Linked DNA regions of Pelodiscus sinensis. The protein of the gene in region 4 interacts with the protein of the main gene of each other region in a pairwise test. Links are inferred from orthologs where the notes say so. Each region holds a gene or a part of one and is shown on either strand. Other genes may lie near its edges. The genes, in order: AP1S2, UBL7, AP1B1 and AP1G1.

The links.
Region 1: the proteins of AP1G1 (region 4) and AP1S2 interact in binary tests that used the Homo sapiens proteins (3 or more experiments, as listed by UniProt). The link is inferred for Pelodiscus sinensis from reciprocal best matches to the Homo sapiens genes AP1G1 and AP1S2.
Region 2: the proteins of AP1G1 (region 4) and UBL7 interact in binary tests that used the Homo sapiens proteins (3 or more experiments, as listed by UniProt). The two-hybrid records come from large-scale screens. The link is inferred for Pelodiscus sinensis from reciprocal best matches to the Homo sapiens genes AP1G1 and UBL7.
Region 3: the proteins of AP1G1 (region 4) and AP1B1 interact in a two-hybrid assay, tested with the Homo sapiens proteins (2 studies listed by BioGRID, with this or other methods). The link is inferred for Pelodiscus sinensis from reciprocal best matches to the Homo sapiens genes AP1G1 and AP1B1.

What each region holds. Positions count from the first base shown.
Region 1 is NC_134711.1:211,493,032-211,500,938, reverse strand, and holds the start of AP1S2 (AP-1 complex subunit sigma-2), read right to left. Parts: upstream 3,008-7,907; 5' UTR 2,800-3,007; coding exon 2,794-2,799; intron 2,366-2,793; coding exon 2,187-2,365; intron 1-2,186. UniProt on the Homo sapiens protein: Subunit of clathrin-associated adaptor protein complex 1 that plays a role in protein sorting in the late-Golgi/trans-Golgi network (TGN) and/or endosomes.
Region 2 is NC_134724.1:35,548,866-35,556,043, reverse strand, and holds the start of UBL7 (ubiquitin-like protein 7), read right to left. Parts: upstream 3,004-7,178; 5' UTR 2,870-3,003; coding exon 2,818-2,869; intron 2,511-2,817; coding exon 2,289-2,510; intron 1,051-2,288; coding exon 931-1,050; intron 1-930. Other genes in the region: actin, cytoplasmic type 5, read left to right, coding at 3,628-4,758.
Region 3 is NC_134725.1:5,452,342-5,460,184, reverse strand, and holds the start of AP1B1 (AP-1 complex subunit beta-1), read right to left. Parts: upstream 3,016-7,843; 5' UTR 2,920-3,015; intron 1-2,919. UniProt on the Homo sapiens protein: Subunit of clathrin-associated adaptor protein complex 1 that plays a role in protein sorting in the late-Golgi/trans-Golgi network (TGN) and/or endosomes.
Region 4 is NW_027466015.1:561,251-568,921, reverse strand, and holds the start of AP1G1 (AP-1 complex subunit gamma-1), read left to right. Parts: upstream 1-4,657; 5' UTR 4,658-4,968; intron 4,969-7,671. UniProt on the Homo sapiens protein: Subunit of clathrin-associated adaptor protein complex 1 that plays a role in protein sorting in the late-Golgi/trans-Golgi network (TGN) and/or endosomes.

The DNA.
Region 1 (7,907 bases), on a different chromosome or scaffold from region 4:
TGATCCAAACTATCACCAAAAATGGGATAGATGGCAGAACTTGATAGCGGATTAGTTCAGGATCCTCTGTAGCATCATCAAACTTGCATCTCTTGCTAACGAAGATCATAACTCTTGCCAAAGTGTGTCAATTACTATAGAGTGTCTGGTTTTCTTTAGGCTACCTGCTTATGACAAAGTCTACAAAACCTCTCCCAATATGAAGGATTGCTTCCTTTTAAGGCTGCTCTTGGGCCACCAGAGGTTGCTTATTCCATTTGCTTTTCATTAGTATATTTGGAAAATGTACTTCTCCCAATGCCAAATACACTTATACCTATCAGACTAAGGCTACGTCTAGACTGGCATGATTTTCCGCAAATGCTTTTAACGGAAAAGTTTTTCCGTTAAAAGCATTTGCGGAAAAGAGCATCTAGACTGGCATGGATGCTTTTCCGCAAAAGCACTTTTTGCAGAAAAGCGTTAGTGCCAATCTAGAAGCGGTTTTGCGCAAGAAAGCCCTGATCGCCATTTTTGCAATCGGGGCTTTTTTTGCGGAAAATAAATATCTGCTGTCTACACTGGCCCTTTTGCGCAAAAGTTTTTTGGAAAAAGACTTTTGCCCAAACGGGAGCAGCATAGCATTTCCGCAAGAACACTGACAATCTTACATGCGGAAATTCAAGTGGCCAGTATAGACAGCTGGCAAGTTTTTCCACAAAAGCACTTGCTTTTGCAGAAAAACTTGCCAGTCTAGACGCAGCCTAAGTGTTTTTTATCTATCACTACTTAAACACAGTCCTCTTAGTAGTATTCTTTGAGCTGCACAAGAACCATGACTATCCAAAGCTGAAGAAAAACAAGGAAAAATAAACAAAGGAAAAATTAAATTACTTCCCCAACATCAAATAATTTTCCATAAAAAAAAAAAAACTACAAACGCAATTGTTTTAATAAATTCCTCAACTTAATTCCACCTGTTGGTGAGGAGAATGAAACTAGTGATTACAATGGATACTATAGATCTTTGTTAATAGGTTATAAGGACTCAAAGTATGTATGCATACCCCCTCTCTCAAGTACTGCCTAGAAATGTTCCATGATCAATTAGCAAGACATAAAAGGCACACATTCTATATGCATGCTTCAAGTGATACAATATCCTCTTTCATTCTGAGGCACTGATCTTGCTAATATAAGCATACCTTTACTCACATGTTTTAGACTGACAATCAATGTCAGGACTGATATGAATAAAGGTATACACAATTACAAAAAGGCAGGACCGTGGCTTAAGTGTCAAATTCTTTCTTGAATATAGCTATACTATTTGCCACAATACATCAATATTATTTACATAATAATTTCATTTCCATTTTTAAGGTGGAGAAATCTATGCTATCAACAGAAAAGTCAACAACAGTAGAGCAAAACATTTATAGCCCAAGAAAGAATTACAGTAAATACTAAAAACAAACCTCTGATGTTCCCTGATTTTCCTACTTAAATATTAAAACTGAAAGAATGAAACTCCTTTTATAAAATTAGCTTTTGGCAGGATGCATTTATTTCTTTCATCTCAATGAATTATCAATTACTGTAATTTTTGGAGAAAAGCAATTTCACTGCCGTTTTGTATTACATTCAAAAGGTCTGCAGAATCAAAACATTCCACCTTAGTATTTTGCTTGTAAACAGATACAAAGAGAGCTTTCTAAGAAAACTGCATAGTATTTTCACCCATAGAAAACTGATCTTGATTTCTCAAAGTGAAAAAATATTTTTTTACTGATAGCAAAAATCTAATCTTATTCATATATATGAGGCCTTTTAGAACCAATTATGTTGAAACCAATTTAAATCATCCACTGCTGGAGATAAACATATTTACATAGAGTTTAATCATTCTAAATATCCATTAAATCATACATGTTTTCCTATTTGTATGTCTTGTTTTACTTAGTGCTGAACACAGAACCAGAAAGAATCATTCTCTCAAATTTAAGAAAATCTAATCTCTGTTCTTCAGCACATTTCTAAACGCATGAGTGCTCTTTACACATGAATGCTTCCTATTAGATTATCAAATTAGATCTAAGAAAAAGCTCAAAATGAGCCTGTTTTCATAACCAGTAAGGGAGAAAACATACCACTTCTATTATTATTTTTTACATCTAATAATTACAAGCTTAGTGAGGCAGAACCACCTTTTGTAGACAATCTTCAGGTCTCTCCACTCCAGGAAGCTGCACATTTTCGGTTTACGAGCTAGCACTGTCTGAACAAGTTCTCTTGTTATTTTTTTCTTCTCTTTGTCAGACAATGGGACATACCACTTCTGAAGTCTCAGCTTCCCCTGACGACTAAAAAGCAACATAAACTGCATCTGTTGAATTAACAAATAAAAGTGTAATTATTTGATCAGCTGTACTGAATGCAAATAGTTTAAAATTAGTTTCATTGGTTGAAAAATATTTTAATGTAGAAAAAGATAACCACATATTCCCCCAAACACAATTGAAAATGAGATGTATCAAAGACTGACATGCTAAAGCTATCTACAAGATATTTTAAGAGGTGACCACTGTCTTAACTAAAGCATGTTCTATATAGAAAAATGAAGCACTGTTGATAAGATGTCCACAACAGTTTGAACAGTGAAGATGTTCAAGAGTAACATGTAGACAAAGAAACAGTGTTCAGGAATTTCAAAAACAGAGGTTAATGTCACCAGATGCTGAACACATAAGTCTGTGCTTGCAGCTTTAGCCATGTTCAGCACTAGCGCATTCACATATTTTTGCTGATACTCACGGTCATCAACACAGCTGTTCCACTGTAGACAAATGGAAAAAAAATGCACAATCACCTGCCTAACGTCAAAATCTAAATTCACTGTCGACTAGCTTATAGGCATTGAATGAAGAACACTTTTTTCCACACCATTGTTAATTTATTCCAGTGTGTGAAAGCGCTTGCAAGACACTGATTAAGACTCCTAACATCCTAGGAGGAGGCAACCCTTTTCCCCGTATGACCAACAAGGAAAATGGAACAAAATGAAGAGGCCGGCTAAGGACCGCTGTGCCAGGTCGCAACGCCCCCCCCTCCCCACCACCACCACACACACGGTGTGATGGGACTATGATGTTTGAGAAACCACTTATCTGCAGCGCGTTTTCTTGCGATGATGGGACCGAACGTACTTTTGGGGGGTTTTTGGGGGGGTTTCTGTTTTTTGTTGGGGTTTTTTTTTTGTTTGGCCTCTGAGGTCTGTTGAATGGAAGAGCGAGGGGCCGCACCAGCACCCCCCTGTCGGACGGGTCTGCTTCTCCCCAAGTCCTCAACCCGACCCGGAGGCAGGGCAGGCAGGATGCTCGGTCCCAAGCGGCTGCAGAAACGGAGCCGCCCGGGGGCAAAGCACCGCCTCGGCCCCCCCGCCACGAGCCGGGCCCGGAGCACGCCCCGGCCGGGCAGAAGGGCCCGGGGCAGGCAGGTGGCTTCGCTTTACCGCCGCGCACACACCGGGAGGAGAGAACCCTGCGCAGCCCCCCCCCCCCCCGGTCCCGTTAACTCCCCGGGGCCACACGCGCCGAGCGGCTGGGGGGGGGTCTATACCCCGGAGTCCCTGCCCGAGCAGCACCCCCACCCCCAGGGGACACCCCAACGCCTCTTCGCGGCCGGGCCCGCAGCCGCTTACCGTGCCCACAGGAGGAGGCGGCGGCGGCGGCAAGAAGCGCGGGGCGGGCGGAGGGAGCCTCCGGGAGTCTCCGGCTCGAGCTCGTGGCGCGCGCGCAGCTGGGCGAGAAACAAACAACCGCCCCCAGGGCGGGCTCGAGCCGGGAGGGAGGGGCCGGGCGCGGCGAGCAGCCCGGGAGGGAGGGGGCAGGAGCGAGCAGTTTCTTTCCGCAAAACTTTAGTAGCTCGGCGAACAGAGGCGCGCGCGCGCGCGCGAGGGAAAGAAGGGCGGGGGGAGTTGCGCGCACCCGGCTGTGGGAGGGCAGCGGTTGGAGCAGCCAGTCAGCGAGTCGGACGCATAGGCAGGCCGGGAGGTAGCCTAGCAGCTGCCAATGAGCGAGCCGGGCGCTCTGGGCAGGGCGTGAGGGAACGAAAGGAGCCAATCATCGAGACGGGACCACAAAAGGGGTGAAAAAGAGAGTCCAGCAACCAACCAGAAAAATCAAAGACGGAGCCTTTATTTGCGGTATCCAATCACCGACGGAAACGCAGATAGGAAAATGACATCAGTCAATCAGGAAGCTGGAGATAAATTCCGCTACCACAGAGCCGGAAGTGGCTGAGCCAGGGGTATTTATTGCGCATGCGCCACTCATCCCGAAGGGAAACTTATTAGGCAGCTGATAGAGTCTTGCGGGTGTTTCCAGAGCGGGAGCCTGGGGAGGCTGGTGTGAATGGGTGGGGGAAGGAGGAAGCTGAATCCTTTGCCTCAGGGGTTTCTCAGTGGCTGTTCAGGGTGAAGGCAGGGCAACTGGCCATTTCCAAAGGCTGCAGAGGGCTGGCCGAGTTAGTCTGTAACTGGGAAAACTTAAAAAACAAGGATTAGTCTTGCAGCACCGTAGAGAGTAACAAAGCGTGTAGCTGCTAGCATGGGCATTTGTGGGGACACCCCTCTTCTTCAAACCAATTCATATGAAGAAGGGGGCTGTGCCCATGAAAACTCAAGGTACCATCTACACGTTTTGTGAGTCCCTTAGGGCAATGGTCCTCCCACTGGGGCATTTGTGTGTTCCCGCCGAGTGCTCGGGGCTGGCGCCGTGTGGCGCATGTGCAGTGCTGGAGCCGGCCCCAGGCTCATGGCGCATGGGGAGTGCCAGCCCCAGGCGAATGGCGAATTGGCCATCCCGGCCCCCAGGCGTGCAGCTATGGGAAGTGCTGGCCCCAGGAGCGTGGCCAATTGGCTGCCCCAGCTCCCGGACATGCAGCTGTAGGGTGCGCCAGCCCCAGTATTGCGGCAAATTGGCATCCATGCCCCTGTACACGCAGCTATGGGGGGGGGTGCCGGCTTTGGGCACACAGCTATGGGGGGGGTGCTGGCCCTGGGTGCATGGCTCTGCAGAGTGCTGGCCCTAGGCTTGCTGCAAATGGGCGGCCCCACCCGTGGCCACGTGGCACATAGGGTTGCTGGCCCCAGGCACGTGGATCATGGGGAGGTGTGGCATATGCGTGCCCCCGTGTGCACAAGTGTCCCTGCTCTCTGGCGCCTAGCAGGCGAATGGCCTTGCCCCCTGGCACCCAGCAGCTTCAAATAGTTGGGGACCACTGTCTTAGGGTATGTCTAGACTACATGCCTCTATTGCCAGAGCCATGTATATTAGTTTACTAGACATACCCAAATGCCTCGTGGGATGAGGTTTACCAGGGCGGTCGACAAATGCCTTTGATGTCTACCACGGAGCATGCAGACTAGCGCGCTGAGCTGACAAACAGCTGATCAGCTCAGTGTGGCAGTCATTTTAATTTAAATGAAGTGGTGATTATTTAAATCCCTGCTTCATTTGAGTATGTCTAGTAAACTAATCTATATGGCTCTGTCGCCAGAGCCATGTAGTCTAGACAAACCCTTAGTGAAATAAATGGGGTGGCTTAGGGTTTTGTGTGTGTGCTTTTTTTTTTTTAAACAAATGCATAGCTGCAATGAGTCTGCAAAACTGGGACTAGATTGTGTCCATGTGCAAAACTGCTGAATTTAATCATGCATAATTTAAAACCTACTCAACAGACTTTTTGTGTCACCTTTTTGAATGACAGTTGAGCTTCAAAAAGTACAGTAGACTTCCAATAATCTGGCACCTTTTGGACCAACGTGGTGCCGGATTATCAGATTCGCTGAAGAATCGGGAGTTCCGGTACAGCTGCAGGGCTTAACAGCTGGCCAGGACACAATCTCCTTTCCCCTCCCTTCTCCTTTCCCCTTCCCTGAAGCAAAATGCTCTTCTCCATACTGTAACAGGATCCCACTCTCTCTCTCCCCTCTCCTTCCCCCAACCTTATGCTCCCTCTGGTTACAGCCAGCACATGTGCTGAGCGGCAGGCTTTTTAATCAGTTGGCCAGGAGCAGTTGGCATTTTGATGCCAGATTATCAGGAGTGCTGAACAGTTGGATGCCGGACTATCAGAGTTTTACTGTAATTGTAAGGCCTCTGGTCAGAGGTTTGAATTATATCAGACTGCAAAATTTATGATAGTGATTAGTGTATGGAGGGGAAGTGTTTTTTCCATAATCACATAGCTCAAACAACTCAAATTCTTTTCCTCCCCCTCTTCTCCCCTCCCTTTCACACCTTTTTAGTTAAGAACCTACATACAAAATTTCAGTACAGAAGGAATAAGAGAAAGTAAAAATGGGGATGATAGAATGTACTGGCTGACCTTCTAAAGAAACTTCTGTATAAGCAACTCAAAGTGCTTTAACAAACAACTTAAATTTCAACACTACAGTTGTTAGTAATTGTCCTTCCCCCCCCCTCCAATATTAGAGATGAAGAAAGTAAGGCACAGAAAGGGAAATATATTTGCAATTTTTCTCAAGTACTTTTGATTACAACATCTTATGAAATGGCAGGAAACATTTCCAAATAGTGTTTGGAGTAACAACTTCTGCTGCTACAACTGTTTCTTTCCAAAAGCATGTAATTTATTAAACTTACGTAGTTAATAACAGTAGTAAAAAAAAGACTATATAAAAACTGATGCTTTCTAAAGCAATTAAAGCTATTGGCAAGTAAGTGAATGATGTGTAGCAGTTAGAGCAAAAACTGGAATCTAATCCCTAGTTCTAGTAGTGATTTACTGTTGACCAAATTATTCACACCTTTCTGTGCCTTACTTTCTTCATCTCTAATATTGAGATGACAATTGTTAGTCTAGAACCTAACATATGAAAGGAAAGGAATGTGTAAAGCCAAACTCGACAGAAAAGTTGATCACAAGCTTGAAGACTACAAAGAAGAAGACAACATCCACAACGGGTGTTTAACTTTTGGGTGCCTTGAAAACCTTTGAGCAAGACTAGGATCCACAAAGCCTGGGGTAGGCACTTATGTCTACACTGCACATTTATTTCAAAATAAGCTATTCCAGAATAATTTATTTTGAAATAGCACATCTACACTTCAGGGAAGCCTCAAAAGACAAGCTTCACTAATGTAGATGTGCTATCTCAGTTTAGTCCTGGATGCAGGGAGGTCCTTATCTCTGCTAGTGATCCAGACCTGAGAGCCCCTCTCATGGAGTCAGATATTTTAGCTGTGTCTACACTGGCGCGATTTTGTGCCAAACCGGCCACTCTTGCGCAAAAACTTGCTGCCTGGCTACACTGGCCATGTATTCTTGTGTGAGTAAACGAACATTCTACTGTATAAAATCAGGGCTTCTTGTGCAAAAACTGTGATGCTCCAGCTCAGGAATAAGCCCTCTTGTGCAAGGGGCCAGTGTAGACAGGCAACATGGATTTCTTGTGCAAGAAAGCCCTATGGTTAAAATGGCTGTCAGAGCTTTCTTGCGCAAGAGAGCGTCAACACTGGCATGGATGCTCTTGTGCAAAAGCACATGTCAGTGTAGACGATCTCTTTTGGAAGAGTCTTCGGAGAAGAACTCTTCCGCAAAAGAGTTTTTGCGTGAGAATGTGCCAGTGTAGATGTAGCCTTAAAGTGAAATAGCTTCAACAGGAGAGATTGATACTGACAGACCAGATGCCAGCTCATGCCGAGGGCATTAGCCCTCAGAGCAGTGACAAATACATAGCTGATCACCTGTGTGTTAGCATTATTAATATAGATGTGAAGTTTATAAGAGTGTGTTTGTTTGGATTTGGTTAAATGCTTGTAGGATGCTGTGCGTATTACTTACTACATCTGTAGCCTGTAGTATTAAATTATATTGTAAGCCTCTGTAATTGTATAATTCAC
Region 2 (7,178 bases), on a different chromosome or scaffold from region 4:
AGTCCTGGGGCACCTTAGACACTAATAAATCTGTTTATCTCTAAGGTGCTACAGGACTCCTCGTTGTTACGGCAATCTCAGTGTCGCTGCTTTAATTTACCTGGTGCGATGCTGACCACTGAAGGCTCCCAAAGCAGATTAAAGAGAGTAAAAGGAATGATCGGATTTTGGTCCTCAACAGAACCAGTGTAATTGACTGTAACTCTTTTAAGGGTTCTGTCTCCACGCGCAGTGGGGATGCTTTCACAGTTCCCATGTCAGCATGAAGCAGACACAGGGAGCTCCCCTTCCTTTGAAGCTGGAGTTTTCACAGAAGACACCAGATCAATCCGAAGGAATTCTCCTCCTTCCACTACGCCTGGGACCCTACAAGAGGCAAGCAGGAGTATGTGCCCCTGTCTCAACTATAAGGCTGTGTCTAGACTACATGGCTCCATCGATGGAGCCATGTAGATTAGGGTTATAGGCAAAGGCAAATGAAGCCGCGATTTAAATGATCGCGGCTTCATTTAAATTTACATGGCTGCCGCGCTGAGCCGACAAACAGCTGATCAGCTGTTTGTCGGCTCAGCGTGCTAGTCTGGACGCTCCTGTGCCGACATCAAAGCCCTTTGTCGGCAGCCCCGTTATTCCTCGTGGGATGAGGTTTACCGGGGCTGCTGACAAAGGGCTTTGATGTTGGCAGGGGAGTGTCCAGACTAGTACGCTGAGCCAACAAACAGCTGATCAGCTGTTTGTCGGCTCAGCGCGGCAGCCATGTAAATTTAAATGAAGCCGCGATCATTTAAATCGCGGCTTCATTTGCCTTTGCCAAAAAAACAAATCTACATGGCTCTGTCAACGGAGCCATGTAGTTTAGACGTACCCTAAGGGATCAGCACCACACATCTACACAGTGAAGAGTCCACATCCAGGCATCCTCTCTCTCACCTGGTTTCTGATCTGGCTCAGGCCATGACTTGCGCAGGACATGAACAGTGGAGCCTGACTGGATGCCATAAAAATCAAGTGTTTGGTCATCCTTCAGCTTGCGGCCACAGTAGATGAGATCTGAGAAAGAGAAAGCAAAGATCTAGAACACAGGCTGCTCCTATAGAGAGCCCCCTACCTTGGACTGTATGGGATAAGTACTGTTCCAGGTGTGCCATCCCCAGGGTTAGATTAAGGGGCTTTAGGAGCTGCAGCTCAGGCCCTGGGCTAAGGAGGGGCCCCGCAAAACGATCGCCAACCCACCAAAAAGGCAGATTTTTTTCCAGACCCTCCTTAGCCCTAGGCTGCAGCCATTAAAGCCCCTGGGTTCCATCCCTGTCTAGCAAAAGGGGGGGGGGAGCATGTTGCCATCTGCCCCCCCCACCCCGCCAAGCTGGAGCTGCAAGAGCAGGGAAGCTCTGTCCACCCGCTTCTCTCGCCTGCAGACTCCACCCCCACAGCCCCAGTGGCCAGCAATCATGGTCAATGGGACCTGCAATGGGCAGGGCCTGCAAGTGAGCACAGGGCAGTGTTCAGACCCACCTGCCCACTCCTCTCCCTTGGATCTGTGCCAAATGGGAGCTGACCCAGGTAAGTGACCTGTGTCCCAACCCCCTGCTCCAGCCCTGATTCCCCTACTGCACCCATTCCTGCCCAAACACTGCACTCTCACCCCAACCTCCTGCCCTGAGCCCCTCCTGCACTCCAAACCGCTTGGGCCCAGCCTGGAGCCCCCTCCTGCACCCCACTCCAGAGCCTGAACTCCCCTGCTGAAGTCCTTACCCCCCCACAACCAAAGCCCTATCCCTATCCCCTCAACACTCTGAATGCCTCATTTTTGGCCCCACCTTGGAACTTAGAGGGGCCCCACAAAATCTAATAGCCCCAGACCCTCAGAAGACTTAATCCAGCCCTGACCATTGGCCTGCCACATGATGTAGCAACTCTTCAATAGTCAATGGCATAATCATGTGCACATTTCAATGCAAGGGGACCGTGACACTGAGGACACCAGCCTGGCTATGCATCCTCACAGGATCACACGGTTTAAAAGAACTGTCCAACCTCTCAGAGTTCTACTGGTGTCAGGTACAAAGTACATCTCATAGCACAGACAGGTGCTACAATCCTGCCTGTTTGGAAGGATTTGTTACAAGCCAACCTGGAAAATAAAGATGGTTAAAGTGTCTATAATAACTAGAATTATATACAGCAACACTGGAAGCAAAGACACTCTAGCCAGTTGAAACTGTTGTATGAAATTTGGTCATGCTCCCAGGCCTAAGAAGGCCAAGTGCTGCAGACAAGCAGCAACTCACCAATGAGTTCTGGGTCTGGGACTGACTCCTGGAGCTTTCCGGTGATGAGCTGCTTGAGGTAGGAGATGCTGCACCCACCCAAAGGGCACTCTCCCAGCTCGGTCTCCGGTAGCCGCAGGATGGATTTGGGGGCCAGCGGCTGGTCTGCCAGCTTCACTGCAATGTGCCACTCTGATAAAGACATCGTCTCCCTGTCGCGGAGGGGAAACCACCTAGAAGAGGCTGCGAAGGGAAGGAAACAAACCAAGGTGAGACCCTGTCAGCGGGGTGACATCACTGGGAGGGCTGCACCCAGCCGCGCCCTGAATCCCGCTCTGGGGCCTCTGCCCTAGTCCCCAACACGGGGGGTCGTGAACCCAAATCGCCCGGGGGCCCCACCACGGAGCCCAGCTCGGCCCAGGCGGGGCCTTTCCTGCCCCGGCCCATGGGATCCGAGAACGGGGGTCTCTGTCGGACCCCAAGCCCCGCCCCCCAGCGGCGCCAGGAGCGGGGGGCCCGGGGCAGGATCGACACTGATGTTTACACTCACCTGACCGCCGTCTCCGGAAACAGGAAATGCCGGCAGGCTCCGCGCGCTGCATGCTGGGAACTGCAGTTTACAGGCCGAGACCCAACCCGGGCTTACCACATGGCGCACCCACAGCTCCCGGCATGCAGCGCGGCTTCCCCTGCGGGGCACGAGCCTAGCTCGCGCCCGGCAGTTCTGACTGGGAGGGAGGAAAGAGGCGGGGCGGGAACACGGCAGCCAATGGGCGCGCGGGGACGGCGGCGGGTTTCCGGTTCCGTTGGGCATAAAGCGGAGCGCGTGGTGGCTGTGGGAGGAGACGGCGGTTGTAGCTGGTGCCGGTCGTGAGTGAGCAGCCGCAGGTACCGGGCCGGGCTGGCGTTTCTGTGCCCCAAGGGCGGGGCCGGGGCTGGTCGGGTGCCCGGGGGGCGGGGCGCAAGGGAAGGAGAACTACTTCCGCTGCGGCCCGTCCCGCCGCCCGCGGCTTTTGGGCTCGTGACCCCCCCCCCCCCCCCCGGCGCTGGCGGGTGTCCGGGTCCTGGGGGCGGCGGGTGGCGAGCGGGGCCCGGCGCTGGGCCCATGTGCGCGTGCTCGCCCCACTTCCGCTGCGGCCCGGCGGGGGCTCGTCGCTGGGGCCGGCGGCAGCGCGGCTGGAGCCCGCCGCCAGGGAGGGCCCCGCCCTGTTCCGGGCTCCGAGCCGCGCGCTGGTTTCCGATCCTCCATCTTGGTTCCGCCGCCCGCGCGGCCGCTTCCGTCGGGCTGGCGGGGGGAGCGGCCGGGCGCGGCCCTAACCCGCCTCTGTCCCTCGTTGTGTCTCCCGCAGACTGAATCAAGATGGCCGATGAGGAAATTGCCGCCCTCGTTGTCGACAACGGCTCCGGGATGTGCAAGGCCGGCTTTGCTGGGGACGATGCCCCCCGAGCCGTGTTCCCCTCCATCGTGGGGCGCCCCAGGCACCAGGGGGTCATGGTGGGCATGGGGCAGAAGGACAGCTACGTGGGCGACGAGGCCCAGAGCAAGAGAGGCATCCTCACCCTGAAGTATCCCATCGAGCACGGCATCGTCACCAACTGGGACGACATGGAGAAGATCTGGCACCACACCTTCTACAACGAGCTGCGGGTTGCCCCCGAGGAGCACCCCGTCCTGCTCACCGAAGCCCCCCTGAATCCCAAGGCCAACCGGGAGAAGATGACGCAGATCATGTTTGAGACCTTCAACACCCCGGCTATGTACGTGGCCATCCAGGCCGTGCTGTCCCTGTACGCCTCCGGACGAACCACCGGTATCGTCATGGATTCCGGGGACGGGGTCACCCACACGGTGCCGATCTACGAGGGCTACGCCCTGCCTCACGCCATCCTGCGTCTGGACTTGGCCGGCCGGGACCTGACCGACTACCTCATGAAGATCCTGACCGAGAGGGGCTACAGCTTCACCACCACGGCCGAAAGGGAAATTGTGCGCGACATCAAGGAGAAGCTCTGCTACGTCGCCCTGGACTTCGAGCAGGAGATGGCCACGGCCGCTTCCTCTTCCTCCCTGGAGAAGAGCTACGAGCTGCCTGACGGGCAGGTGATCACTATTGGCAACGAGAGGTTCCGGTGCCCCGAGGCCATCTTCCAGCCCTCCTTCCTGGGGATGGAGTCCTGTGGCATTCACGAGACCACTTTCAACTCCATCATGAAGTGTGACGTGGATATCCGAAAGGACCTCTATGCCAACACCGTGCTGTCCGGCGGGACCACCATGTATCCTGGCATCGCTGACCGAATGCAGAAGGAGATCACGGCCCTGGCACCCAGCACTATGAAAATCAAGATCATTGCCCCGCCAGAGCGTAAATACTCCGTCTGGATCGGTGGCTCCATCCTGGCTTCTCTCTCCACCTTCCAGCAGATGTGGATCAGCAAGCAGGAGTACGATGAGTCTGGCCCATCCATTGTCCATCGCAAGTGCTTCTAAAGAGGGTCCCGGCAGGTGCGCTCGGCCTCTGCCGATGGGGTTACTTCGGGTATCCTGGTTGGGGCCAATGTATTTACCAAATGGAGTAGTTCTTTGTAACCTTTGCCCTTAAAAAGCCTTTCATGTTGGACCAATATTGTTTGACTTACTCGCCTCCCCTTACGTTTAACTTGACTCTTCCTTTGATGTACTGTGTAGTAACTATACCCTGTGCATCTTAAGCTCTGTTACAGGTGGGGCACGTGTGACCAAGGTTACCGTGAACAGTATTAGCAGAGAGAGAGAGAGTTACCTGTTAGGCTTTAGTTCTCCTGTGGCTGGCTGTAGTGATCCTCTATTTTCCCCTCTTGAGCTATAAATTCCCTGGGGCTGGAGACTAGGCTAAGGGTTGTTGGCTTTACTCTGTAACTCTGATGTAATGGCATCTCACAAGTAGATTTGTAACTAACCCGACAGCTGATAACTGTAATACGATTGACAGCTCCTTGTTCAAGGCAAACTAATAAATTTCTGTGGTTTAAAATGTGTGGTACTGTTTCTGTGAGCTGAGTCAAAACTGGGAAACTTGCTAATAAGTGGAATTAGGATGGGTTTTTAGGCTGCTCTTTTGTAAACATTTTTTAGCTTTTTGAAAATTTCCTTTTTTTGACTTAAAGGTCCATTCTGCTACTTCAACTAAGATACGAGAACCTGCAATAGACATCCATTCAGATAGCTATATGTCGTTTTCAAGAAAACTGGGATGTCCTAATTAGGGGTGTTAACTCTTGGTTAATTGAGTAGTTGATGGGGGTGGAGGGCACTTCTTGAGCTGGTCTGAATGGTTGGTGGTAAAACTTATTTGCTCTCCTTTTCAGACTAAAAGCACTCCAGATACTTGGGGGGGGGGGGGAGAAAAGGAGCAAAAAGCTCATGTTAATGCAGAATCTCGTAATTCATTTTATATGGTAGCATATATCCTTGGTTTTTCACTCATTGTGTGCCCTGGGTTGAATCATTCCATGAGGAATTTCTCAGCCATATTTCATTGCCTACAAGCAGTCTAGACAGGAATGACTAGCCAACCTAAGCAAATGCCAGCTGGCCTGGGAATAAGGCCACACTTAAAGTGCTGGCCTGGTGGTTCCTGGTTATCAAACTTTGACTCTTTGTATTAAAGTCTACAATGCTTAAACACATTTCTATGTCCCTGTCATTTAGGAACTGATACAGCAAAGTAACTATGGACCTGCCTGAGCACCAGTTGAGACTATCCACCTGGTGTCTTAACCCCTGCAAAAATGGGGATGAGACTGAGGGGAAAATGACTTGCTTGAGCTTGCCCTGTAGAGCCAAGCAGAACCTGGCAGTCTTGACTCAAGCTGCTGGTCTATTTATTGGACCAAAATAAAGCCTTTTCCAAAAGGTCCCTTATTCCTGATTTTAAGAAGAATAAGGGATCTTTCAGAAAAGGCTTTATTTTCCAAAAGATCCCGTCTAGACTGGTGCTTTTCTCCGGCAAAGCCCTGAGCCAGAAAAAAGTGGCAGCCATGTTTATACAAATGAAGCGGGGGATATTTAAATCCCCCACTTCATTTGCAATTCTGACTTGTCTCATCTGCATCCCCTTTTCCAGAAAAGGGGTGCAGTATAGACACAGCCTGGGAGCTTGTGCCTCATTCCTCCCTCATCCTTCCACTTACCCCTCCCTTCCTTATGTCAAAATACACATTTTCATGAACACAAACTCTTTAACAAGTGGGGAGGAGGGAATGAAACTGGGGAAAGGAGGCAGAGCTGGAAGGGGGAAGGGTGGGGGGGCTTTCAGGGTAGGTGGCCATGCCAGACCAACTTGATTGTCATGCAAACCTGCTCCTGGGAATAAGGTCCATGATCTCCACCCTGGACCAGAAAGGTACCTGTCTTCTCGGAGTCCTGGCAGGTCTTGAAAGCTGGCAGACTGCTTGTGAGGAGCGGTGGAGGGCTGGCTGCCAGTGGCTTGCTGGCTCATATTTTGGGACCACTGGGTCGGGGCCAGAGTCTACCTCTTTAAGGGCGGGGGGGGGGGGGGGGAAGAGAAGTGTTCTTGGTTGAGGCCGGAGTGGCCACCAGGGCACCCTGGGAAGGCTGGAAGCCCCCTATTTTGAAATAAGTGTCTACACAGCACTTATTTTGAAATAGCTATTTCGAATTTGGTGTTATTCCTCACAGAATGAGGTTTACCAAATTTGAAATAAGCGCTCTACTATTTCGAATTAATTTTGAAATAGTGGTTTGGCTGTGTAGACGCTAGGAAAATTATTTTGAAATTTTGCTGTGCAGACAGACCCTCGGTGAACAACTCTATTGGGGTGGGGGAGGAGATGAAGGGGAGGCTGCTGTTCTGTTCCCAACTGTAGCAGGAGTGGTTGGTAGGCACTTGATACAGGGAGAGTTCTTAA
Region 3 (7,843 bases), on a different chromosome or scaffold from region 4:
CAGAGGAAGTTTATTGCCTCTCCAGGATACAGCACAGCACAGATGGAATCTGGTCACAGAGCTGGGCTAGGATGCCTCAGGCCCCCTTGAGATGGGGGAGACTGGACCCCTAAACTCCAGTCCCTTTCCCTAGGCTGTCTCCTCCATGCTCCCAGACACCAACTAAACTCACTCTCCTCCAGCCCTGCCCCCCCAGCCAGGGCAGCCTTCACCTTCCTTTGTTCCTCTCCATGGGGGGTATCTGGTTCAACCAGTTTGGCATCACCTTTGCATAGTGAGGTTTTCCCTGCTGGGTCTTGCTCCAGACAGCAGGGGTCACCACAGCCCAGCAAGTACCCCCACTACGTCACAGAAGGGGGCCACACGTGCGCATTATAAGGAAACAGACGGATACCAAACTTTAAAGCAACTCATTTTAGTGGAACTCTGTTCTCCTCTCCAGAACACCTGGACAAGGCTGTAAGCAGCCAAGCCTCAACCCTGACAACATGGCTGTGACCCGAGACTTGGTCCCGGCTACTTGAGCAGGCTAGAATGTGAAGCCAGGAATTCTGGGAGTCAAGTTGAATGATGGAAAGAAGCCAGTGACCCTGAGATTCCAGGGCTCCTTCTACCCCAGAGGCAAATGAGAAGCCCTGCCCCAACTCCAGTGCCCGGTTACAGTTTCTTTAACAATCGACTGCCATCCCAAGCTGCGAGAGCTCCTGCTGAGCCTGCGCCGTGGTGGCCCTGACAGCAGCAGGGAACTCGGTGCTCTGTGACTCTAGGCTGCAGAGGTTTGTGTTGCTCACAAACCAGAAACCACAAGTCAGGTGGGAGCCACAAACCACAAGCTCAGGTTTCACTCTAGGAACTCTGCTGAATAACAGCCTGGCTGTTTGGGGCAGAGGGTTAACAGAGCTTACGGTGGACGATGTTGAGCTTTTAATGACGACAGTGCTGACTTTCCAGAGAGAGAGGAGAGGCAGAGAGAAGTGAGCATCTGAGGACAAGCAAGATGGTCTGAAGTCACAAACATGGCGATTAGACCGCTTGGAAAGCCGCTTCTAGCACACTAGTGAGAACAAGTGGAACACTCACAGTGGAATGCTGACTCTGCCCCTGACCTGCAGCAAGTCACAGTAAAGCTCGGTGCCTCAGTTTCCCTTGCAATCCTTCGATTTATCTGCATAGACCATAAGCTTTCTGGGGAAGGGACTGTAGTACTTACTGTGTGTGGGCAGCATCTAGCACACCGGGACTCCAATACAAACAGTAGGGTCTCCTAGGCCTCACCGACCTCCAGGCATTCAGAGACAAGGTAAAGGGCAGGCACCACAGCGCAGTGGTCTCTAAAGCACCACTGAACCCATCAGCCAGAGGAGGCAAGCCCAGCCAGCCCTCAGATCAAGGAACAGCTGCCCTAGACCGTGCTGCTATGCACGCCTCTGGGTGGCAGCGAAATCAAGTTACATCTGACCCGCATCCGACGAGCTGTCGGAATCCTAGAAGGTGAGCAGGGGAGGAGCCCAGCCACAGCAGAACGTACTAGGGATGTAAGCAACTAGTCGACTACCTGATAAGCATGCAGAGACTCAACTAGTCGCTTCCACCACCCTTGCTGCCTGGGGGGCAGGGGAGGCAGAGGCGTAGCATGGGGACCAGGAATCAGCTGTCCCGGCTCTCGCCTGGTTCCCCTTGCTGCAGCTCTGCCTTTTAAATGCATCCGGCACTTAATATACATCTAAAAGGCAGAGCTGTAGAGGGGTCCCACTGCAGCTCTGCAGTTTCCCCCTTCATCAACTAATCGAGTAGTTCATGGAAATTCCATCAACTACTGTAGTTGAGTAACTGCAATTTAACATCCCTAGAACATACACCTCTAGCAGGCAGTTCCACTAGCTGAGCCGGAGTGTGCCAGTTTTCTGCCATCACCAACTCTTCAGTAGCGTTAGCTGCCACAGAACATACACACAGGGCACTTCCTCTCCCAAACCAGCGCTTTGCCGACTGGCAACTTTGCAGCCCATGCCTCTGCTGCTGGAGTAAGGCAGGTAGCGAGTGCCATGTTCCAGTGGCATGCAGAGCCCACCACAGCAGCTGTGAGAAAGCAGCCTATAAGCCACATTTATACCCCAAGAAGCCCAGCTGAGGTCAACGGATTTCTACACGGGACAAGTCTAGCCCTCTCCAACATGAGCATGGAGTCTCGCGTGCCCAGACACCAGTTTTTCCACTGACACAGTCCTTCCCGTAACGATCAAGCTCCCCAAATCCACCAGCTGCTCTGCCCTCAGCTCTGGGAAGCTGTTGAGAAGGGGGTGGCCTGAGTCCTCAGAAAAGCACAAGTGGGAATGGGGAAAGAAGCCCCCAAACCCTGCAGAGAGCAGGGCTCACAGCTGGGGATATAACCAGTTAACCAGTAAGCATCGCCCTCACTGGGGGATACTTACCGGCTATGGATAACAGGCAGGGGCAGGAGCAAGCAGGGAATTGCTCAAGCCCGGTGGGGCCGTGGCCAGGAGGTGGGGCAGCCCCCCTCCTCAGCAAGCTTGGGCAGGGGCACTGGATAGTGTTTAACCCATGGGATTTTACATCCCTAGTCGCAGCAGTAGCCTCCGGCCCCGCCGCCGGGAGACACCTGCAGGGGGAGGCGGGGCAGCCTGCGCTGCAGCAAAGCCGGAGAGGCCGCGCAGGAGCGCACGGCTCGCCCGCAGATGTGACCGCAGGAGGCGGATCGATGCGGCCCTGCCCGGACGGGGAGTCGCCGCCTGTCGCCCAGGCAGCCCCGACCCACCGGCCCCGCAGCCCCCGCAGCGCGGCGCCGGGAGCGGGAAAGCGAAGGAGCCGCAGCCGCTCGGGCGAGCCCCCGGGGGCAGCACTGGCCCGAGGACGGCTCGGCTCGGCGCGTGCGGCCGGGATCGGGGCCCCCCCACCTACCGCTCGCGGCTCCCTGCGCTGCCTGCGCCTCCAGCGGCCCCGCGGAAGTGAGCGCCCGGGCGGGGAGCACTTCCGGGGCAGGGGCGGGGTGTCACGTGGGGTAGGAGCGCGCGGGCAGGCAGGTGAGGAGGGGCGGGGCGTCACGTGGGGCAGGAGCGCGCGCGGGCGGGCAGGTGAGGAGGGGCGGGGCGTCACGTGGGGCAGGAGCGCGCGCGGGCGGGCAAGTGAGGAGGGGCGGGGGCTGAACGGTCGGGCCTCTCTCCCAGCCGAGAGGGGGCGGGGCGCTGCGCTGCGCGTGGCTGGGGGCGGCGCGTTCTCTGCCCCGGCCGTTGGGCGCGCGGGCCCGGCCGCGGCTGCTCGTCACGTGCAGGGCCCCGCGCGGGATCCGGCTGCCCCCCCCCGCCCGGGCCCTTGCTTGCGGGAGAAGCGCCCCCCCCCCGGACCCCCCCCCCCCGAGCGGCGCCGGCAGGTCAGCGCCCCCCCCCCCCCGAGCGGCGCCGGCAGGTCAGCGCCCCCCCCCCCCGAACGGCGCCGGCAGGTCAGCGCCCCCCCCAGGGCCCCCCCCGAGCGGCGCCGGCAGGTCAGCGCCCCCCCCAGGGCCCCCCCCGAGCGGCGCCGGCAGGTCAGCGCCCCCCCCCCGGGCCCCCCCCGAGCGGCGCCGGCAGGTCAGCGCCCCCCCCAGGGCCCCCCCCGAACGGCGCCGGCAGGTCAGCGCCCCCCCCCCCGGCCCCCCCCGAGCGGCGCCGGCAGGTCAGCGCCCCCCCCAGGGCCCCCCCCGAGCGGCGCCGGCAGGTCAGCGCCCCCCCCGAGCGGCGCCGGCAGGTCAGCGCCCCCCCCAGGGCCCCCCCCGAGCGGCGCCGGCAGGTCAGCGCCCCCCCCGGCCCCCCCCGAGCGGCGCCGGCAGGTCAACGCCCCCCCCAGGGCCCCCCCCCGAGCGGCGCCGGCAGGTCAGCGCCCCCCCCCAGGGCCCCCCCGAGCGGTGCCGGCAGGTCAGCGCCCCCCCCCCAGGGCCCCCCCCGAGCGGCGCCGGCAGGTCAGCGCCCCCCCCCCGGGCCCCCCCCGAGCGGCGCCGGCAGGTCAGCGCCCCCCCCAGGGCCCCCCCCCGAGCGGCGCCGGCAGGTCAGCGCCCCCCCCGAGCGGCGCCGGCAGGTCAGCGCCCCCCCCAGGGCCCCCCCCCGAGCGGCGCCGGCAGGTCAGCGCCCCCCCCAGGGCCCCCCCCGAGCGGCGCCGGCAGGTCAGCGCCCCCCCCGGCGCCCCCCCCGAGCGGCGCCGGCAGGTCAGCGCCCCCCCCAGGGCCCCCCCCGAGCGGCGCCGGCAGGTCAGCGCCCCCCCCGGCCCCCCCCCCGAGCGGCGCCGGCAGGTCAGCGCGCCCCCCCCCCCGGCCCCCCCCCGAGCGGCGCCGGCAGGTCAGCGCCCCCCCCGGCCCCCCCGAGCGGCGCCGGCAGGTCAGCGCCCCCCCCGGCCCCCCCCGAGCGGCGCCGGCAGGTCAGCGCCCCCCCCCCCCCCGAGCGGCGCCGGCAGGTCAGCGCCCCCCCCCCCGGCCCTCTCCCCGAGCGGCGCCGGCAGGTCAGCGCCCCCCCCCGAGCGGCGCCGGCAGGTCAGCGCGCCCCCCCCGCCCCCCCCGAGCGGCGCCGGCAGGTCAGCGCCCCCCCCCCCCGCCCCCCCCCGAGCGGCGCCGGCAGGTCAGCGCCCCCCCGGCCCCCCCGAGCGGCGCCGGCAGGTCAGCGCCCCCCCCGAGCGGCGCCGGCAGGTCAGCGCCCCCCCCCCCCCGGCCCTCCCTCCGAGCGGCGCCGGCAGGTCAGCGCCCCCCCCGCCCCCCCCCCGAGCGGCGCCGGCAGGTCAGCGCCCCCCCCAGCCCCCCCCGAGCGGCGCCGGCAGGTCAGCGCCCCCCCAGCCCGCCCCCCCTTGTCCCCCCTTGCTCCTCTCGCCCCAGGAGCCCACCGAGCCCTTCTGACCGGTGTCCGTACTGTCCCACAGGCGTGTCGGGGAGGCTCCTGTGTGGATTTGCGCAGTCCCTAGGCAGTTCCCTTCCCCCCCCCCGGGCCCAGGGCTTCACGCCGTGCGGTGCCTGACCCGATGCCTGCGGAGACCCCCGAGGAGAGCTTGAAGCGCCTCGGCGCAGGTCATCGAACGGACTCCCGCAGGGTCTGCAAGACCTTCCAACCAAGGACTAAACGAGAGCGACGCCAGACTCAGGTTACTTCAGCGCTTTAACCCGCGGCACCGCAGCCAGCGTCTGAGGAGCGCCCGGGCCGGCATGGGGCATGGGTCCATGTCGAGGCACTCTGTGCGTTGGGGCGACACACGGTCCCCAGCACCGAGCGCTCAAAGAAGGCACGAAGAGGGAGATCACCTTCGAGACGGGTCGGGGCTGCGTCTGCGAGGGGGACGCCCCGAGGCTCCATTGCCGCTCCCGCGCACCATCGGTACAGGTCGAGTCCCGCGCAGGCGAGTAGCCCTGAGGGGTCCCACAGCCGTCAACCCCGGATTTGTTTCTGGCGGCCCGGGAATAGATTGAACTTACATCTTCCCTGGGCCCGACGCTGTGTGGTGCGGAGGGGCCAGGAGCGACAGGGACAGGATGGTGCCACTTCCTCCTCTACCGGTGTGGAAGTCTGGTCCGGCACCGTCTGTAGTGATGGCACAGAGGAACCGGGGCTGGTACAGAGTGCAGCCCTCCCGGCACCGATGCTTTCAGCACCGGAGCGTGTGACTGCCCCCTTCGGCACCGGCGCACTGAGGGAAACCGGCGGCCATGCCACACCACTGCCAGCACTGGGAGCAGGCAGCTTCTGCAGCACTGCCGTGGTCCACATCCGAGTGCTCCTCAGTCGCACATGGAGTTGATGACATCTAGGGCATCTTCAGACGGCTCCTCAAAGTGACGCTGGTCAAGGTCTCCGCACCGGTCCCAGCACTGATCCTGCTCGCAGTGCCACTCAAGGAAGGCCAGTCTGTCTCCATCACAGACTCGGCCCCCACAGTGACAGCTGCCTGCCCAATGGCCTTTTTGGATCCTCTGGCCATATCATCAGACCCAGGGGCACGGACCCTCGGGGTTGGCCTTGGGGCTTAGGGCTGCACCTTCGGCCACCCCACTCATGCGGGTTCCACTGTCGGAGTCCAGGGCCAGTCCTTCGGGGTCAGCAGGGAACCCCTCTGCCCCTTCCCCCTGCCCTCCTCAGCCCCCTTGAAGTGCCCCATGCTCAGCCCTTTCTCCAGCCCCTCCTCCCCTGCCTCCTGCTCAGACCCCTCATGTCTGTTTTTCATAAGAACTAGGTAGTTCTTTGCATCCATGCAGCCAAAGGTGCTGCCTCCCTTTTGGGTATATCAAGATTCTCTCCCCTTCCCCCTCCCTTCGCCCCAAGGCCGGCGAAGAGCAGAGCTGGCTTCTAGGCATTGCAGGGGCCAAAAGGAGCCAAGCTCTTGTTATGCTTAAACTTTCAATCCCAACACTCTTTCACGTGACCCTTTTCTTTGTTCTTCTGCAGGGCCCCCTCTGGGACCGGGGCAGGGATGTGCAAAGGAAGGGGCTGCTGCCCTGCCGTCGCTGACTTCACTGCCGTTTGGAAAACTGCACCCCTAGGGATGCTGCTGGAAAGCCCTTTGTGAGGGTAAGAGTCCTTGTCCTCCCCCTGGCCAGAAGGGTACGATCTGGTGGATAGACCGGGCAGCACTCCTTCAGGCAGCCCCACGTGCCGCAGGGTCAGGCGCCTCTATGCCGCACTGTTGGACGCTTAGCCTGGAAAATGCAGCGGTGGAAGAGCTGGGACCCCCTTGAGTCCCAATTTATTTAACATCAGAGCAGCCAGACGGGGTCAGACCAAAGGTCCATCAAGCCCAGGGTCCTGTCTGCCCACAGTGGCCAATGCCAGGGGCCCCAGAGGGAGCGGCCTGGCCGGGCCCCTGGACAACCATTGCCATTCCTTGTGGTGGTGAAGCCATTTCACAGGCATTGCCCGCCCCAAGGTCAGTTTCAGAAGGTGCTGGTGTAGTTACAGGACTCACTAGGGATTGAGAATAAGACAGAAAATACCTTATTGCCTCTATGTAAACCCATAGGCCTCCCACAGCTTGAATACGGCGTGCAGATGTGGTCGCCTCATCTCCAAAAGATCTCTTGGCATTGGAAAAGGTTCAGACAAGGGCAACAGAATGATGAGGGGTTTGGAACAGGTCTCATATGAAGAGAGAGAAACAAGACGGGGACTTTTTAGCTTGGAAAAGAGGAGACTACATGGACTATGATGGGGGGGTCTATAAACTCATGACTGGTGTGGAGAAAGTGAATAAGGAAAGGTTCTGGACTTGTTCCCATCATATAAGAATGAGGGGTCACCCAATGAAATGGATAGGCAGCAGGTTTCAAACAAACCAAAGGAAGGTTTTCTTCACACAGTGCCCAGTCAACATGTGGAACTCCTCGCCAGAGGACGTGAGGGCCAGGACTTTATCAGGGTTCAAAAAAGAGCTAGCTAGATTCATGGAGGTCAGGCCCATCAATGCCTGTTAGCCAGGATGGACAGGGCTAACGTGCCTATTTCTCTCTGGTTGTCAGAGGCTGGGAAGGGGCCACAGGAGGGATCACGTGAGGATTCCCTGTTCTGTTCACTCCCTCTGGGGCACCTGACACTGGCTGCTGGGCTGGAGGTCCCTGCCTGTGGTTGCAGTTCGCTGCAGTGTGTATGTGGTTGTGTGTACCGGGGGAGGGCCTGTGCTCTTACTGGCGCTTTGCTCTCCTCCTTCCCTGCAACCTTTCCTCTCCATATGCAGCCAGTAGCTGTTGGAAACCCAGCCCCCCAGAGGGAGGGGAAGCGAGGGGAGTTTTGGTAACCAGTGTTTGGTTCTTTAAAGGGTTTCATACCACGGACAGAGGAATACTTCCCTTTGGGGTTAACCAAAGACTTGATTTCTATTTACTTGT
Region 4 (7,671 bases):
GAAGAACGCCTTCTTTCGAAAGTGCTCTTTCGAAAGAAGGCGTTCTTGAAAGCAAACAGGCTTTTTAGAAAGAGAGCATCCAGACTCACTGGGTGCTTTCGAAAAAGCAGCTTGCTTTTTCGAAAGTTCCGCGTGCAGTCTAGACGCGCTCTTTCGAAAGAGGCTTGCAGTCTAGACATAGCCTCACACAGCAATCAGAAAGGCCAGGAACTGGGTATTCAGCTCAGAGGGTTTGAACAGACGCTAATCGTAAGCCATGTTTACTAGCAGGCTGTAGCCACTTCCCCTTGCATTGTCAGCTTCCAGCTGTTCGTAGTCTGGGAGTACGGGGAGTTGTCACTCAGACCTTGTCCCCTGCCCCTGGGGAAACAGCGGACACCCTAGCAGCCAGCCTGGTCTCTGCTGAGCAGCGCTCCCCTGGACCGAGTCAGGAGATGGAACAGCTGGCTGCAGAGCCCCGTTATTGCATATTCTGGAATCTTCCCAGAGTTTCCCTGTGAGCCCGGCAGGGAAGATGTGCCTGAGGAACCCAGGGGAGGCTGAGGCTACCAGCTCTCCTTCCCTCTGTAGTGTAACAGCAGAAACACCTTATTGCTCTGGCAACTCTCCCCCTTTCCCCCACCAAGACAGAAGCCCTGCAGACAGCTCAGGCTGGAACCTCGTGCAGGTCATCCCATCCTGCAAACCACAGAATCCCAGCAGGCTCTGCCCTGGGCTCCTCCACACGCACTCCTCTCAGCTTCTCCCACACTTACCACCTCCAGACTTTTCTGAAACCTGCCGGGACGCAGGCCTGCACTGCTCCCTTTCCCTTCCCTGCCTCCAGAGCAAGTGCAGTGTCCTAGCTAGTACTCTCCTGCCTCCTGTTATCCCTGCACCCTAACTCGCCCGCCTCCCTATGAGGCCCTGTGGTACAGATCCTCTCTGCACCCCCCACCCCCGAGCTGATCACATCCAGGCTGTAAGACACGAAACATTCTCACTCCACCACTGGGTCCCCCACACTAAGCCCCCGTTGGGCTGAGGCTGATTGCCCCACACCTGGACGGGGGTCAGAGGTGAGCAGGCAGGGGAGACTGTCCCTCTTGCTGACGGCCATTGCATTGGGTCAGGGTCAGGTGCAGCCTCACCGCCAAATCCGTGTTTGGGGGCGGAGGGGAGGGTTGCAGCATGAGCTCCCACTTCTGTTCAGACCGGTTGTGGTGACAGCACATGCCCATGTAGATAAGGCCTGAGTCCTAGCTTCAGTGAACTCTCTTTTGTGGAGCCTCAAAGACTCCGGCTGGTCAGACATCTGCTGCTCTGACGTCTCTCCTAGGCCACTCCCCAGAGTATCTCAGAAGTGTGATTGTAGCATATGAGTCACTGGTCACTTGGCCATCTTCCTTTTCCCCACCCGGGGAGGAGGTGTGTGTGTATGGGAGCTGGGGCTGAGCCCAATCCTCCCTTAAAGGGCCAGACACATGCTGTCAAAGAGCAGTATCAGTCTCAAAGCAACAGGGATGGGCAATAAAATGGCGGCAGTTTGCCAGGGTCAGTCCATGGCGGGCCACTGCTGCTATATTTTCACCAATTGTCTAGGAATGGCAATCCATGCCCAACCGATATCTGCGGAGGCACAGGTAAATATAGTGGCAGTGGCCTGCCACGGGCTAACCCTGGAGGGCTACGTCTACACTGGCCCCTTTTCCGGAAGGGGCATGTTAATTTCACCTATCGTCGTAGGGAAATCCGCGGGGGATTTAAATATCCCCCGCGGCATTTAAATAAAAATGTCCGCCGCTTTTTTCCGGCTTTTAAAAAAGCCGGAAAAGAGCGTCTACACTGGCCCCGATCCTCCGGAAAAAGCGCCCTTCAAAGTAGGAATAAGAGCCTCTGGAAAAGGGCGCTTTTTCCGGAGGATCGGGGCCAGTGTAGACGCTCTTTTCCGGCTTTTTTAAAAGCCGGAAAAAAGCGGCGGACATTTTTATTTAAATGCCGCGGGGGATATTTAAATCCCCCGCGGATTTCCCTACGACGACTCATGAAATTTACATGCCCCTTCCGGAAAAGGGGCCAGTGTAGACGTAGCCGTGGAGTGTATTTGGCCTGCAGGCCTGTGTTTGCCATCTCTGCACAGCAAGCTGGTGTTGTGAGAGAGCAGGGTTGTGGGTCCAGAAAGGAAGATTGGGAGCAAATAATTTTTTTACATTTATTGTTCTCACCTAGCAGAGCTCTCCAGTGGCTTTCCTATGCCATCACTGCAGCTGTCCTCTGCTTTAGCTCTTTCTCCTCTTTCCCTGCCTCCCTCTCACATCTTTCTTGCCCTCCTCCATCTGCTTTTACAAACTCTACTTTCTCTGTCTCTGCCACAATGCCTGTGAAACCCAGACAACTGCCAGTGGGTAGGCAGGTGAGAAGGCTCTTCTTTCCCTGTCTTTAGTCCAATTATAGAGAGAAAGGACCAAAATGAAAAACCATGCCCAGTATGCATAATTAATCAAACAGAGACATTTGTTTGTGTGTTCTATTTACACCTCCTACTATTCACATTTGTGTTATTAGATTGTAAGCCCTGCAATTAATGCCTTACAGATATCCTTCCAAATACTGTGTGATCAAAAGCTGTATTCAAAATTCCATAACCCCAGTCCCTCCCCTGTATGAACTCTGAGACCCAGACTCTGGCCACCCCATTCCAGTGAAGCGGGGAAAGGTTTGAACCCAAGAATTTCTTATTATGAAACACATAAATAACAGAACAGAAAACACATATTCCACTGGCAGTTTTGCTGATGTTGTGCATGAATTCAGTGTGCTAAAAATAGGCAGCCATGGAAATTCTGAATCCCAGAGGCGCAGAGCAGGGTTCCCTGTAAGCTGTGTGGCCACAAAGCTGCCTAACAAGCCCCACGCAGGGGCTCAGGGCTGTTATGCATGGAGTTGCCACAGCTGAGGGAGAGAAGCCTCTCCCTTAGCCATAGCAGCTCCCTGCTGGGCTGGAGGAGAGGTGCATTCCCCTGACCCCAGGAGCAGAGCCAGATTAAGAAAGATTCTGAGCTAGCCCTTCCTGGTGGGATAGGAGACGCCTCCGTGTGCTGCTGGGAAACTGTCCATTCACTGCCCTCGTTTAGATGCTCCACCTTGTCACTCCCATTGGCCAGGAATTGTGGCCAATTGGATCTGTGGGGGGATGGTGCCTGTAGTTGAATGCGGAGACATCTATTCCCGCCCGAAACGGGAGCTGCTCCAGGTAAGTGTCCTACACCCCAACTCCCAGATCTGAACTCTCTCCTGCGCTCCAAAACTTTTGGCCCCTGTCTGGAGTCTCCTCTTGCACCCCAAATACCTTATCCTCAGCACCAACACAGAGCCTGCACTCCAGCAAGGACCCTCAATCCCCTCCCACACTTTGAACCCTTCAGCTGCAGCCTGCCACCCATGGTCCATATGCAGAATAAATGTTATGTGCACCAATATGGAGGTGATCTGAAGAAGTGGGCTGTGCCTACGAAAGCTCATGATCCCATCGACATGTTTCGTTAGTCTATGAAGTGCTACCAGGTCATTGGTTGTTTTCTGTAACACACTAACTCGGCTACCCCCTGAAGCTTCCTATCGCCATCTTGGTGCACATAACAAAATTCATTCTGCACATGGACATACAAGGTGAGAGGTATGGTCGCCACCACCGGTGACGTTGGCGCTAAAAAGTGTCTCTGCGAAGGGCGGCCAGGTGGTACCTGCCTAAGGCAAAGCCCCACACGGCAGGGCAGTCCCATGAACTCGGGCCAGCTGGACACGCTGCTGGCCGGAGTCATTCATAAGAACGGCCGTACTGGGTCAGACCAAAGGTCCATCTAGCCCAGTATCCTGTCTGCCGACAGTGGTCAGCACCAGGTGCCCCAGAGAGGGTGGACCGAAGACAATGATCAAGTGATTTGTCTCCTGCCATCCCTCTCCAGCCTCTGACAAACAGAGGCCAAGGACACCATTTTATCCCCTGGCTAATAGCCTTTTATGGACCTAACCTCCATGAAATTATCTAGCTTCTCTTTAAACTCTATTATAGTCCTAGCCTTCACAGCCTCCTCTGGCAAGGAGTTCCACAGGTTGACTACACGCTGTGTGAAGAAGAACTTTCTGTTATTAGTTTTAAACCTGCTACCCATTAATTTCATTTGGTGTCCTCTAGTCCTTATGTTATGGGAACTAATAAATAAATTTTCTTTATCAGCCCTCTCCACACCACTCATGATTTTATAGACCTCTATCATATCCCCCCTCAGTCTCCTCTTTTCTAAACTGAAAAGTCCCAGTCGCTTTAACCTCTCTTCATATGGGACCCGTTCCAAACCCCTAATCATTTTAGTTGCCCTTTTCTGAACCCTTTCCAAGGCCAAAATATCTTTTTTGAGGTGAGGAGACCACATCTGTACACTGTATTCAAGATGTGGGCGTACCATAGTTTTATACAGGGGCAGTAAGATATTCTGGGTCTTATTTTCTATCCCTTTCCTAATAATTCCTAGCATCCTATTTGCCTTTTTGACCGCCGCTGCACACTGCGTGGACGTTTTCATTCCAGGGCCGGAACCTTCCTTCGCGGCGCCGGGCGGGCCCGGGCGCATCTCGCGGCAACACTCCGAGCGGGCACGAGAAGGTGTCTGACGTCATCATTGCCTGCCACGGCGCCGACTCAGCGCTCCTCGAACAGGAGTTTCACAGCTGCTTCCGCCTGGAAAAGTAGTTCCCAACGGCCGCTGTCCCGGTGCCCGCGAGCGGCCCGCTGCCCGGGAGAGCGATCGGCTGGGACCGCAGTGCCGGCGGGGCGCCCTCCCTCACGAGGTGGGGCCGGGAACGGCGAGGAGCCAGTCCCCGTCCTGCGGATCCCTACGCCTGCGGTATCGGTGCTGAGGCCGCGGAGCCGCCATTTTGGATGCCTGGCTCCTGCTACCGCCGCTTCCTCCGCTGCAGGGACCCGGCCCGGTGAGTGGGGGCGGGGGCGGGAAGGTCCAAGCGGCCCCGCAGCGCCCACGGCGGGACCCAGGCCCCGGCCCCCAGCGGCCCCGCTCGGCTCCCCCCCCCCCCGGGCTGGGCCCGTATCCCGCCCCCCCCCCGGGCTGGGCCCGTATCCCGCCCCGCTCGGCTCCCCCCCCCCCGGGCTGGGCCCGTATCCCGCCCCGCTCGGCTCCCCCCCCCCCGGGCTGGGCCCGTATCCCGCCCCGCTCGGCTCCCCCCCCCCCGGGCTGGGCCCGTATCCCGCCCCGCTCGGCTCCCCCCCCCCCGGGCTGGGCCCGTATCCCGCCCCGCTCGGCTCCCCCCCCCCCGGGCTGGGCCCGTATCCCGCCCCGCTCGGCTCCCCCCCCCGGGCTGGGCCCGTATCCCGCCCCGCTCGGCTCCCCCCCCCCCCCGGGCTGGGCCCGTATCCCGCCCCCCCCCCCCGGGCCCGTATCCCGCCCCGCTCGGCTCCCCCCCCCCGGGCTGGGCCCGTATCCCGCCCCGCTCGGCTCCCCCCCCCCCGGGCTGGGCCCGTATCCCGCCCCGCTCGGCTCCCCCCCCCCGGGCTGGGCCCGTATCCCGCCCCGCTCGGCTCCCCCCCCCGGGCTGGGCCCGTATCCCGCCCCCCCCCCCGGGCCCGTATCCCGCCCCGCTCGGCTCCCCCCCCCGGGCTGGGCCCGTATCCCGCCCCCCCCCCCGGGCCCGTATCCCGCCCCGCTCGGCTCCCCCCCCCGGGCTGGGCCCGTATCCCGCCCCGCTCGGCTGCACGCCCCCCCCCCCCCCCCCCCGGGCGCAGGGCCCCGGCCCGCTGGGGCCCTGGGCGCCGCCTCCGCCCCCCAGCGCCCCGCCGACAGCACCCGCCTCGCCCCTCTCAGCGCCTCTGGGTCCGCGCTGCGCCCCCTCAACTTCCCTGCAGGCAGCCGCACCGCCCCTCTCCCCGCACTGCCCGCACCCCGTCCCGCTGCTCTGCCCCTTCTCTTGATCTCCTGGAGTGGAGCCTGCTGCTCTGGCCCTGCTCTTCGCTGGCAGGTCGTTCGCCCCTGCGGCCCCGGGGTGGCAGCTCTCCTGTGCTAGCCCTTGGGGAAGAGCGCGTGTGTGTTCCTTTGGGGTGATGCTTGTGCACAGAGGGTAACACTGCACTCCTCCTCCTGTTTCCGAAGGTGAACGGAGTACTCTGCAGCTGTACTGCTCGAGGAGTTTTGTTTGTGCATAGCCCCATAATTATATCTATCTAGCTCTTGGCAGAGCAGACTGCCACAGTCCTGCCTAGACCAATTTACAGCAAGCTGCAGGTGCAGACTTTTGCTGCTGCTTCTTTAAGGGTTTGTTTAATTCTTTTTCAAATTATATGGCATTAGTTGTTGCTCGGGTGCTGATTCTTGGGTGTGGATTAATGCTTAAGTCTTTCCCAATATCAGACTTTGTCACTTTATACATTTTGATTTTTAAATGCTGTGGTGTTGTTTATTGCTGCACTTGATGTGTGACATGCTTGATGAAATGCTGTAGAAGCACTATGTCCTTTAAAGTGCTATATTGTCCTGCATTTTGCTTCAACTACCCCAGACTAACACGGCTACATTTCTATCACTATGTCCTTAGGAGAGATGGTGTATTGAGCAGAGCTTGACAAATGGGCTTGAAAAATATACTTGACACCTGCTTGCTTATTAGTCAGTGTGAAAAGTAATTCCGCTACCTTGGTTCCCTCCAGACCAAGCAATGCTGTAGTGCATTTTCACTGTAGTGAATTTTAAGTCAGTCTTCTATTTAGCATACTTTTACATAATAACTTTGTCTCCTGTTTGTATATTAACTTTTTTCCTTTTCTGGCTTCACTCCATTTTTCTCCCCTCTTTTCATTACTATATTATAGTGTATATTTTCTGGTTTTAATTGTCTGTTTTCTCTTTTCTTTCTCTTTTCCCCTCCCGCTACATCCCTTTCTCTCTTCATTTACACTGAACGCGCTACTGTTTGCACTTCAATTTTTTTCGCACTCAGTTGCCAGATTTTCTCTCATTTTCCTCACCCAAACTCTCTGCTGATCCATTCCCTCATCTACGGATCATGAAAACTTTATCAGACACCAAAGAGCTGGCAAGAGAGCTCAAATAAGATTGGAGACCCTGCTCTTGTCACCCCACAACACACTCCCTTTTCTCTCTCTCCCATATGCTGGGAGGGGAGGAGGTATTTAAATTACTAGAAAGACATGATTCCTGAATGTTTAGGAACTCCAAGTTCCCACTAGTAGGCTTATGATGAATTTGAGACTTCACCCAATAATCCTTTTCTTTTTCACATTCCTCTGCTTCCAACACAGTCCCCTGTCTGTTCCAAGGATAGGGTTTCTGCTAATCTAGCCCTTGCCTAGCTGCCTCCATGTTTTGGTGTCATAACTTCCCATGCTGTTGCTCTTTAGACTTGCCAAACAACAGAGGGACTATATATGATTCTTGTCAGCTTCATTGTTGCTCAGAGGGTTCTGAATAGCAGCAAAGGAAAACTGCTGAGACTGGTCACTTGTTACATCCTAGCTAGGCAAAGCTGTGAGCAGAACAGGAGGATTGGAGCTGTCAGTCTGCAGACTTATAAAGGAGTGCGTAAATGGTTCAGATTTGGAAAATTATCTTTGAAACCATGAGTACGAGAAACTTTTTAAAATGAATATTTTAAAGTCTGTGAAAG